2 linked regions of the Oryctolagus cuniculus genome follow. The protein of the gene in region 1 binds, or shares a complex with, the protein of each later gene. Links are inferred from orthologs where the notes say so. Each region holds a gene or a part of one and is shown in the gene's direction. Other genes may lie near its edges.

Region 1 (3,812 bases):
ACGCCTCACCTGTAAGTGGAGACAAGCGCACCTTCTTCAGAGGGTCATGGTGAATGTGTGACCGTCTGTACCATGGTACATGGGAGTGGTAAGTGAATGTTTGCTCTTACTCATTTAGTGCCAAGGGGAAGAGAACTATTCTCAGGTTGATCGTATGCCGAAATGACTGCGAACCCATGCCCTGGATTCCTTGTGATCCCATAACAGTGAGAGTAGGGTCTTCCACATATCTTGTTCTTGTTTGTAACCCTTGGTTTTTACCTTTGCATATGGTTTATCTCTTATGGGTCTCTCCCATTTCCTCTGAGTCAACTCTTCTTTTGGATGTTATGATATTAAATCTCAAACTCTTGATCCTTTAAATCTCAACCTCTCTCAGCGCCATTTCATCTCATCCTACACCAAATCAAATGTCAGTCTTCTCAAGTTTTCCTCATAGTTTAATGGGAAGCCAGATTCTGTTTGTGATTCATGACCTGATGTATAGTAAGTGCCTCAAAGTGCACTATGTTCATAAATGATGTAGTCTGACTGTACTGGCTTTCTGTGAAAGATGCCAGTCTTTTGAGATAGCCCCAGCTGAGACTGTGGAATCACCTTTGACCCCTCCTTTCACTTTGTCCAGACCTGGAAGTGGGCCAGTGAGGCTTCCTTTGGGGTGGGAGCACATGTGCCTGTTTTGCTCTTGCCACTGCTGCCAATCTGGTCATGCTTTGTAGCTTCCTGTTGAATTTCCTCAAATTCTTCTTTTTTTTGTCCTGGGGTGCGTCCCATGATCCACTCAGACTCAATTCTAATTTCTTTTTTTTATTTAATAAATATAAATTTACAAAGTACAACTTTGGAATTGTTGCGGCTTTTTCTCCCATAACCTCCTTCCCACTTGCAACCATCCCATCTACCACTCCCTCTCCAATCCCATTCTTCATCAGGATTCATTTTCTTTTTTTTTTTCTTTTTTAGGATTCATTTTCAATTATCTTTATATACAGAAGATCTTGGTCTTTCTATGATTCTCCACTGCCCAGCATACACGAGGGTACTTCAGAAAGTTTGGGGAGCAGAGTGGAAAGCAGTTTGGTGTGAAAGATTTTGAAATCCATGTGTTGTTTTTTTCTTGAAATACATTTTCCATGCATTGTTGAAGACCCCTTGTGCAGTTCTGAATCCTGCTCTTTGCGTGCACTTCCCTTCCTTGAGCCCCAGGCTTTGCTCAGATTTGCTTACTCTGGCATGTCTAGGCCAACTCCCTTTTTCTTCTTGCCAGCTTTGCTTTTGTTGGTGTTGCCACACCCTCACTTGGCATCATCTGGGAGCCAAAGAAGGTCAGTGAGCCTGGGGTGGAATGAGTGAGAGGAGAGAGGCCTGAGCTAAGGTTAGAGGGTAGCAGGATGTGGCTATTCAGGCCCTTGTGGACCACACTGCAGTGTTTCATCGTCAGCCTGAATAGCACATGGTGGGGCTCTCAGCAGCTGCACGAGTGCTCAGGACCTATGGAGTGTTACAGCTCGCTGCCAGCGGGGTACAGAATGGATTGAAAGGCAAGGAAGGAAGCAGGGCCACCAATTACAGTGACTTCGTACCCAGTGAGCTGGTGCAGGGACGAAAGAGCTGACACGGAAGATGGAGGCAAGTGAGCAAACAGGAGATTTGTTTTGAAGACACAATAGATAGGATTTTGGTGGGATATGGGGCAGGAAGGAAATGGATGCAGCAAGGATAGTTTCTGGGTCTCTGGGTAATAACCGGGGACTCATGGAACCTCAGACTGAACCAGCAGCCTGGAGAGGAGCAGCTTCATTCCTGTCTCCCTCACAACACAGCCTGTCACGTAGGAAGCCCTTTAAATGTTAACTCTTAGTATCCTGTGTTTATGCTGTGCTTCTCGGAGTACATTTTAAATTCCCTGAAGGCCAAAGGCTGTGCTTTAAACTATTTTTCCTACAGCATCTATCATAGTGCCTTAGCCAGGAAAGGTGGTGAATCAATATTTAATTGAGTGACAAAAACTGTTCCACACTTTGTTTCTGCCTCCTTTCCAAGTCCTAATTATTTGAAGTAAGCAATTAAAGAAATTGGGGAAAATTTCTATTTTCATATATCATACATACAATGCGAGGTTTTTCTATATTTGCACTCAGAAGTGTTATTTAATACGAGTCACTGGAGTCGGGCCTGGGATTCGTCCGTGTGGTATCCTCAGGCTGGCTCCCTACCTCCTGGTGCCTGCTGTCTCCACAGATGTGCACTGGGAACTACACCTTTGTCCCTTACATGGTGACACCACACAACAAGGTCTACTGCTGTGACAGCAGCCTCATGAAGGGCTTGACTGAGCTCATGCAACCCAACTTGGAGCTGCTTCTCGGACCCATCTGCTTACCTCTTGTGGATCGTTTCATTCGACTTTTGAAGGTGGCACAGGCAAGTTCCAGGTAATGTGCAATAACACCATTTGGTGATGATAAGGAATGGTTCTACTTCTTTTACTTATCCATAGAAGATGATCCTCAGGAATCAATATACAGCTAAGAACCAGGATAAATGTTGCACACTGTCTTCCGGGGTAGGGAATATCTCGCTGGCAGTCTGTATAAGGCCAGTGAGATCATTTAGTCTGGCCCTGCAAAGGCAATCATGGGTGGGATTTGAAATTCAGTAAATCTATGGTAGGCTAATTTTTAAGTTGATAATTTAGTTTGTCCCATGCTTGATGTCATAAATATCCAAATGGCACTTGGCAGAGAAAAGGTTCCCCACCCCTGCAAGCAGATAATATACTCATAGATGTCATATAGTTCACATGTTGCCTTGTGTTTATTTTACTCACAGGACAACTTGGTATCAGAAGGAATAAAGACTACTAACTGCTTTATAGGAGTGTCAGAGCTAAAATACATACCGAAACCTTATCAGAATAAGGTCCAAGGACTTTTCAGCATAAGGACAAGAATTCTGCAAAAATTGCTGAGGCAGATGTTGATTAAGAGCAAATGTTTATGTTCATAAATGATGCTGAGTCAGAAAGTACAGGTTATATGATTTAGAACAATTCCTGCTCAGAAAAGTCAATCAAAAATGTGGTTTTGTGGTTTAAGTGGTACGATGCATGGAGATTCATTTACATAGTATTCCTTATAACTCTTTTTGAAACAAGACAGAATATGAAAGGAAATACAGGGACTTCAAAATTTCTAAATAATGACAGATTATGAGATATTCATTCTGTTCACACTAAGTAATTGAAAGCTATGAGTACACAAATGTCATTCATTTTCTTATAAAATTACTATTTTTATTGAAATCTTTGGAATGTGTTTTGGTTTCTCCACAGCCAATATTTCCGTGAATCTATACTCAGCGATATCAGGAAAGCTCGAAATTTATACACTGGTAAAGAATTGGCAGCTGAATTGGCAAGAATTCGGCAACGAGTAGATAATATTGAAGTCTTGACAGCAGATATTGTGATCAACCTGTTACTTTCCTACAGAGATATCCAGGTAAGAAGATACTTAACAGTAAAATCTGTCCTGTAGGATGTTGGAAGGGAGTGCAAATGTCAAATTTCTGTTACCATATGTAGTTTTTTTTTTAATTGGTTCTCATGAGTTTTCCATCCCATGATTTTATGATGAAAGAAGACTCCTGTGAGTTAACTGTCAGTGATTGAGGAAAACTTTCATGGTAAAGGCCTGATTTTTCCCTTTAAAAAAAAAAAAGAAAAGAAAAATGCTAATAGGGCTATCCTATGTACAGTCTGTTCCACTCAGACACACTTGTCAGTCAATAAATGAAAGCTGGTTTAGGGA
Region 2 (3,812 bases), on another chromosome or scaffold:
GGCCCTGTTCCTTCTCTGCCGCTGTCTCAGGGACAGGCAGGTTGGGGTCAGGAACTGCTTTCCTGTTTGGACCAAAGGACATCGAGGCAAGGTTGAGGAGCCTGGAGCAGGAGCCTGACGCTGCAGGTGGGGCCGCCGTCCTGCTGCTGGCTTGCTCCGGGTCCTGGGTCTCAGTGTACTGCCTACAGGACGTGACCTTGTGGGGTAACAAGGGCCTTGTCCTGCCTCCTACCTGAGGCCACAGTGGAGACCACAGTCCCCGGAGGTCTTCTGTCGCCACTCAGCCTTGCGTGGTCCCTCCCCCTGTAACGCCGTCCTGCCTGTCCCCACAGGTGACCACGTCATCGGGAAGCAAGTGCTTTTCCTGCCGGTCAGCAGCCGAGCGGGATAAGTGGATGGAGAACCTGCGGCGAGCAGTGCACCCCAACAAGGTAGTTCTGTGCCTCTCTTGCCAAAGCACGGGGGATGGAGGTCAGACAGACACGAGGCAGCAGGAGGGCGAGGGCTGGCATGGGAGCAGCCTGCGTGGGCAATGTTCTTGCGCCCTGAACGAGGAGATTGACTCGGCCAGGCTGGGCCAGGCTCTGGGCTTGTGTTCTTGAAGCTACACGTGGAGGAGGAGCTGGCCCTGCAGCCTTCTGCCTGGAGCCCTGTGCCCACTTGTCCCTAGCTGCTGGGCCATCTCATCCTGCCTGAGACATCTGCATCTCCTCAGGACAAGCACCCTGGTCTGGGTTGGTGCACCTGTCTGTATTCCCACAGAGGGGGACCCTGGGCTCTCGTGTCAGGTTGTGGGACCCCAGAGGCCACCCTTGCATCTATATCCGTTTCCCCAGCTGGCTTGAGGGCCTGGGCCAAGTCCTGGTCACTGTGACATCACTGAGGAAGGGACCTTAGCAATGGTCACTTCTTAAGTGACTTTACAGCCCAGCCAAGTAAGGAGGTAGTCGTGGCCTCGTAACCTGAAATGGGCCAGGCAGCGTGCTGGCCTCCGTACTCAGTCTCTCACTCCGTAGGGCGGCGTTTTTATTCTCATTTGGTAGAAATGCAAACTGAGGCTCTGGTTAAGTGACCTACCCCAGGTCAGCGCACACGGGAGGCAGACTAGACTAGAGACCCAGCCTGTGTCCGTCGCCTCCTGCCTTACCCCTCCCCCTCCCAGGGCCTGGCCCACCCCTCCCCCCACCTGATTTGAAGACTTCCCATGTCTGATGCCCGGGCCCCTGTGCACGCGCAGGACAACAGCCGGCGCGTGGAGCATGTGCTCAAGCTGTGGGTGATCGAGGCCAAGGACCTGCCAGCCAAGAAGAAGTACCTGTGCGAGCTGTGCCTGGACGACGTGCTGTACGCCCGGACGACGGGCAAGCTCAAGACGGACAACGTCTTCTGGGGAGAGCACTTCGAGTTCCACAACCTGCCGCCCCTGCGCACGGTCACCGTCCACCTGTACCGGGAGACTGACAAGAAGAAGAAGAAGGAACGCAACAGCTACCTGGGCCTGGTGAGCCTGCCCGCTGCCTCGGTGGCCGGGCGGCAGTTCGTGGAGAAGTGGTACCCGGTGGTGACGCCCAACCCCAAAGGCGGCAAGGGCCCCGGGCCCATGATCCGCATCAAGGCCCGCTACCAGACCATCACCATCCTGCCCATGGAGATGTACAAGGAGTTTGCCGAGCACATCACCAACCACTACCTGGGGCTGTGCGCCGCCCTGGAACCCATCCTCAGCGCCAAGACCAAGGAGGAGATGGCGTCCGCCCTGGTGCACATCCTGCAGAGCACGGGCAAGGTGAAGGTGCGTGCAGGCCCTGGCTCCCAGGGAGGGCTTCTGCAAGCGCGGGGTCACCTGCCCGTCTCCGGGTCCGTCCAGCCAGCGTTCATGGAGGCCTTGGTGGCACCAGTCACGGCTGGGTGGGCTCCCTGATCCTGAGAGTTCTACCACTGGGCAGGCTTTGTCTCCCAGCACGAATGGGTCTGACTCCTGAGGCATGAGTAGAGCCTTCAGCTGCCTCCCTCTCGGCCCAAGGGGGTGCAGGGGGTGCAACTGGGCTCCCCCAGCACACCCTGGCCCCACAACCCACTGGCCTCGTGACCAGCTCCACCCCCCCACCACCACCCCAACACACACCCAGTCTGGCAGACATTCCCAGCAGGTGGGGCACCAGCTGACAGTCTCCCCACACTCACCTGGGTAGGCAGCCAGCCCGAGGCCCACAGGAACATGAAGACAGTCTGACAGCCACTCTGGCAGGCCCTCCTGTCTCTCCACCCCCGCCCACCTCCTCTCCCTTCCACTCCTGGCCTGGGGAGCCCTAGATGTGCCGTCTCCCACCTGCCCAGCTCAGTGGAACGTGGCTCCTGAAGGCCTCCCAGGTGGACCTCCCTTCTTCACAGTGCCTTGGCCTTGGGAGGAAGTGGGCGGAGGAAGGGGGCTGGACCTGAGGCCTCTGTGAGGTGGATAAGGCCTCCTGAGTTGAGCTAAGGAGCTGGGCCTCAGCTCTCTGGTCGGTGGTGTGGTTTAAGAGTGACATACGTGTTGGGGAAGGGCACTGCCCTGGGTCCGGGTCCTGAGCTCTTAGCCAAGGGCTGGTCAGGCACAGGTTGGGAACTTGGCTTGAGGACCCCAGGGTAGCCCAGGGGCAAGTGAGTCCTTTGAGGTCCTGATGGAGAAGCCATGGCTGGAAGTTCCTTGGCCTTCTACAGGCCCTCAGTGGCACCCCCACCTGCCAGATGTGGTGTGAGACAGGTGCAGGACTGGGAGAGGAACTTGCCCCCATGGCTCCATGGGAGCGGGCAAGGGTACTGCTTTCTGGTGGACCATCTCCCCGCCCCCCAGCCTTTGCACTTGACCGCCAAGGCTGTAGTTAGGCCAGCTCTGCATACCCTGTCCTTCACTGGGCAGTGGTGCATGGGTTCTAGGAAATGCAGTGGATTGAGGAAGCCTGTGGCTCCCAGAGGAGGCGCAAGAGGCAACAGAGGCGCTGATTTGTTCTGCTGCCGGGTCTGATCTTCCAGTGCCTGGTCTTCAGGGCCAGGAAGGCTCAGGAAGCAGGTTCAGATCTGAAGTTGTCTGAGGCAAGAGGCTGCCTGAGCTCTCTTGGCCTCTGAAGGGGAGGGGAGCAGAAGGTGGACACCCATGCCACTGGGTGCTGTGCACCTGAGTCCCTGTCTCTGGAACACTTGGGAACCCTTGCAAGAGGCTGGAAGCCCCACGAGGCAGCTGGAGCGGCGGTGAGCGGACAGCCTGTCCTGTCCCAGGCTCCGCTTGCCTAGGCTGCGGCTTTTCAGAGTCAGGTCCTAGACTCCCCCTGCAACCCCCCCCCCCCCCCCCCCCGGTATCCAGGAGTGACAGGGCCTGGGAAGCAAGACTTGGGCCCAACCTTGCCCCAGGGAGCCGTGTGGCCCTGTTCTGTGCCTTGCTCTCCCCTCTCAACTTTCACCCTCCCCCTTTCAACTCTTACTGGTCCGTGCTGGCCCCTGCCCTCCTTTAGGGGGCCCGCCTCTCAGGAAGGTTTCCCTTGCACCGGGGAGGCCTCAGGCTGAGCAGGGGCCATGCTGGAGCAGCAGGACGAAATGTGCTCCGTCACAGGAGGGTCTGGAGCGCAGCTGTGTCCAGTGTGGGCGCCCCCAGGGGCACGGGCGGCTCCTGGCAGCCCCGCTCATCCTCTTTGGCACTGATGTCGGGGAGGGGCACGGTCTGGTCACCCAGCCAGGCCTGGTCAGGGCTCAGCAGAGGTGGAGTCCAGTTGGTCTGGCCGTGATGGTGGGAGGGTCTTGACTGTGGGGGGCGTGCTGTTATCCAGGCCTGCCTCTCC

What was found.
Region 2: MAP3K5 (region 1) and DAB2IP share a complex: the UniProt entries of both Homo sapiens proteins name them as parts of the cytoplasmic complex. The link is inferred for Oryctolagus cuniculus from reciprocal best matches to the Homo sapiens genes MAP3K5 and DAB2IP.

What each region holds. Positions count from the first base shown.
Region 1 is NC_091436.1:32,159,568-32,163,379, forward strand, and holds part of MAP3K5 (mitogen-activated protein kinase kinase kinase 5), read left to right. Parts: intron 1-2,241; coding exon 2,242-2,435; intron 2,436-3,334; coding exon 3,335-3,503; intron 3,504-3,812. UniProt on the Homo sapiens protein: Serine/threonine kinase which acts as an essential component of the MAP kinase signal transduction pathway. Plays an important role in the cascades of cellular responses evoked by changes in the environment.
Region 2 is NC_091432.1:225,763,165-225,766,976, forward strand, and holds part of DAB2IP (disabled homolog 2-interacting protein), read left to right. Parts: intron 1-332; coding exon 333-431; intron 432-1,237; coding exon 1,238-1,792; intron 1,793-3,812. UniProt on the Homo sapiens protein: Functions as a scaffold protein implicated in the regulation of a large spectrum of both general and specialized signaling pathways.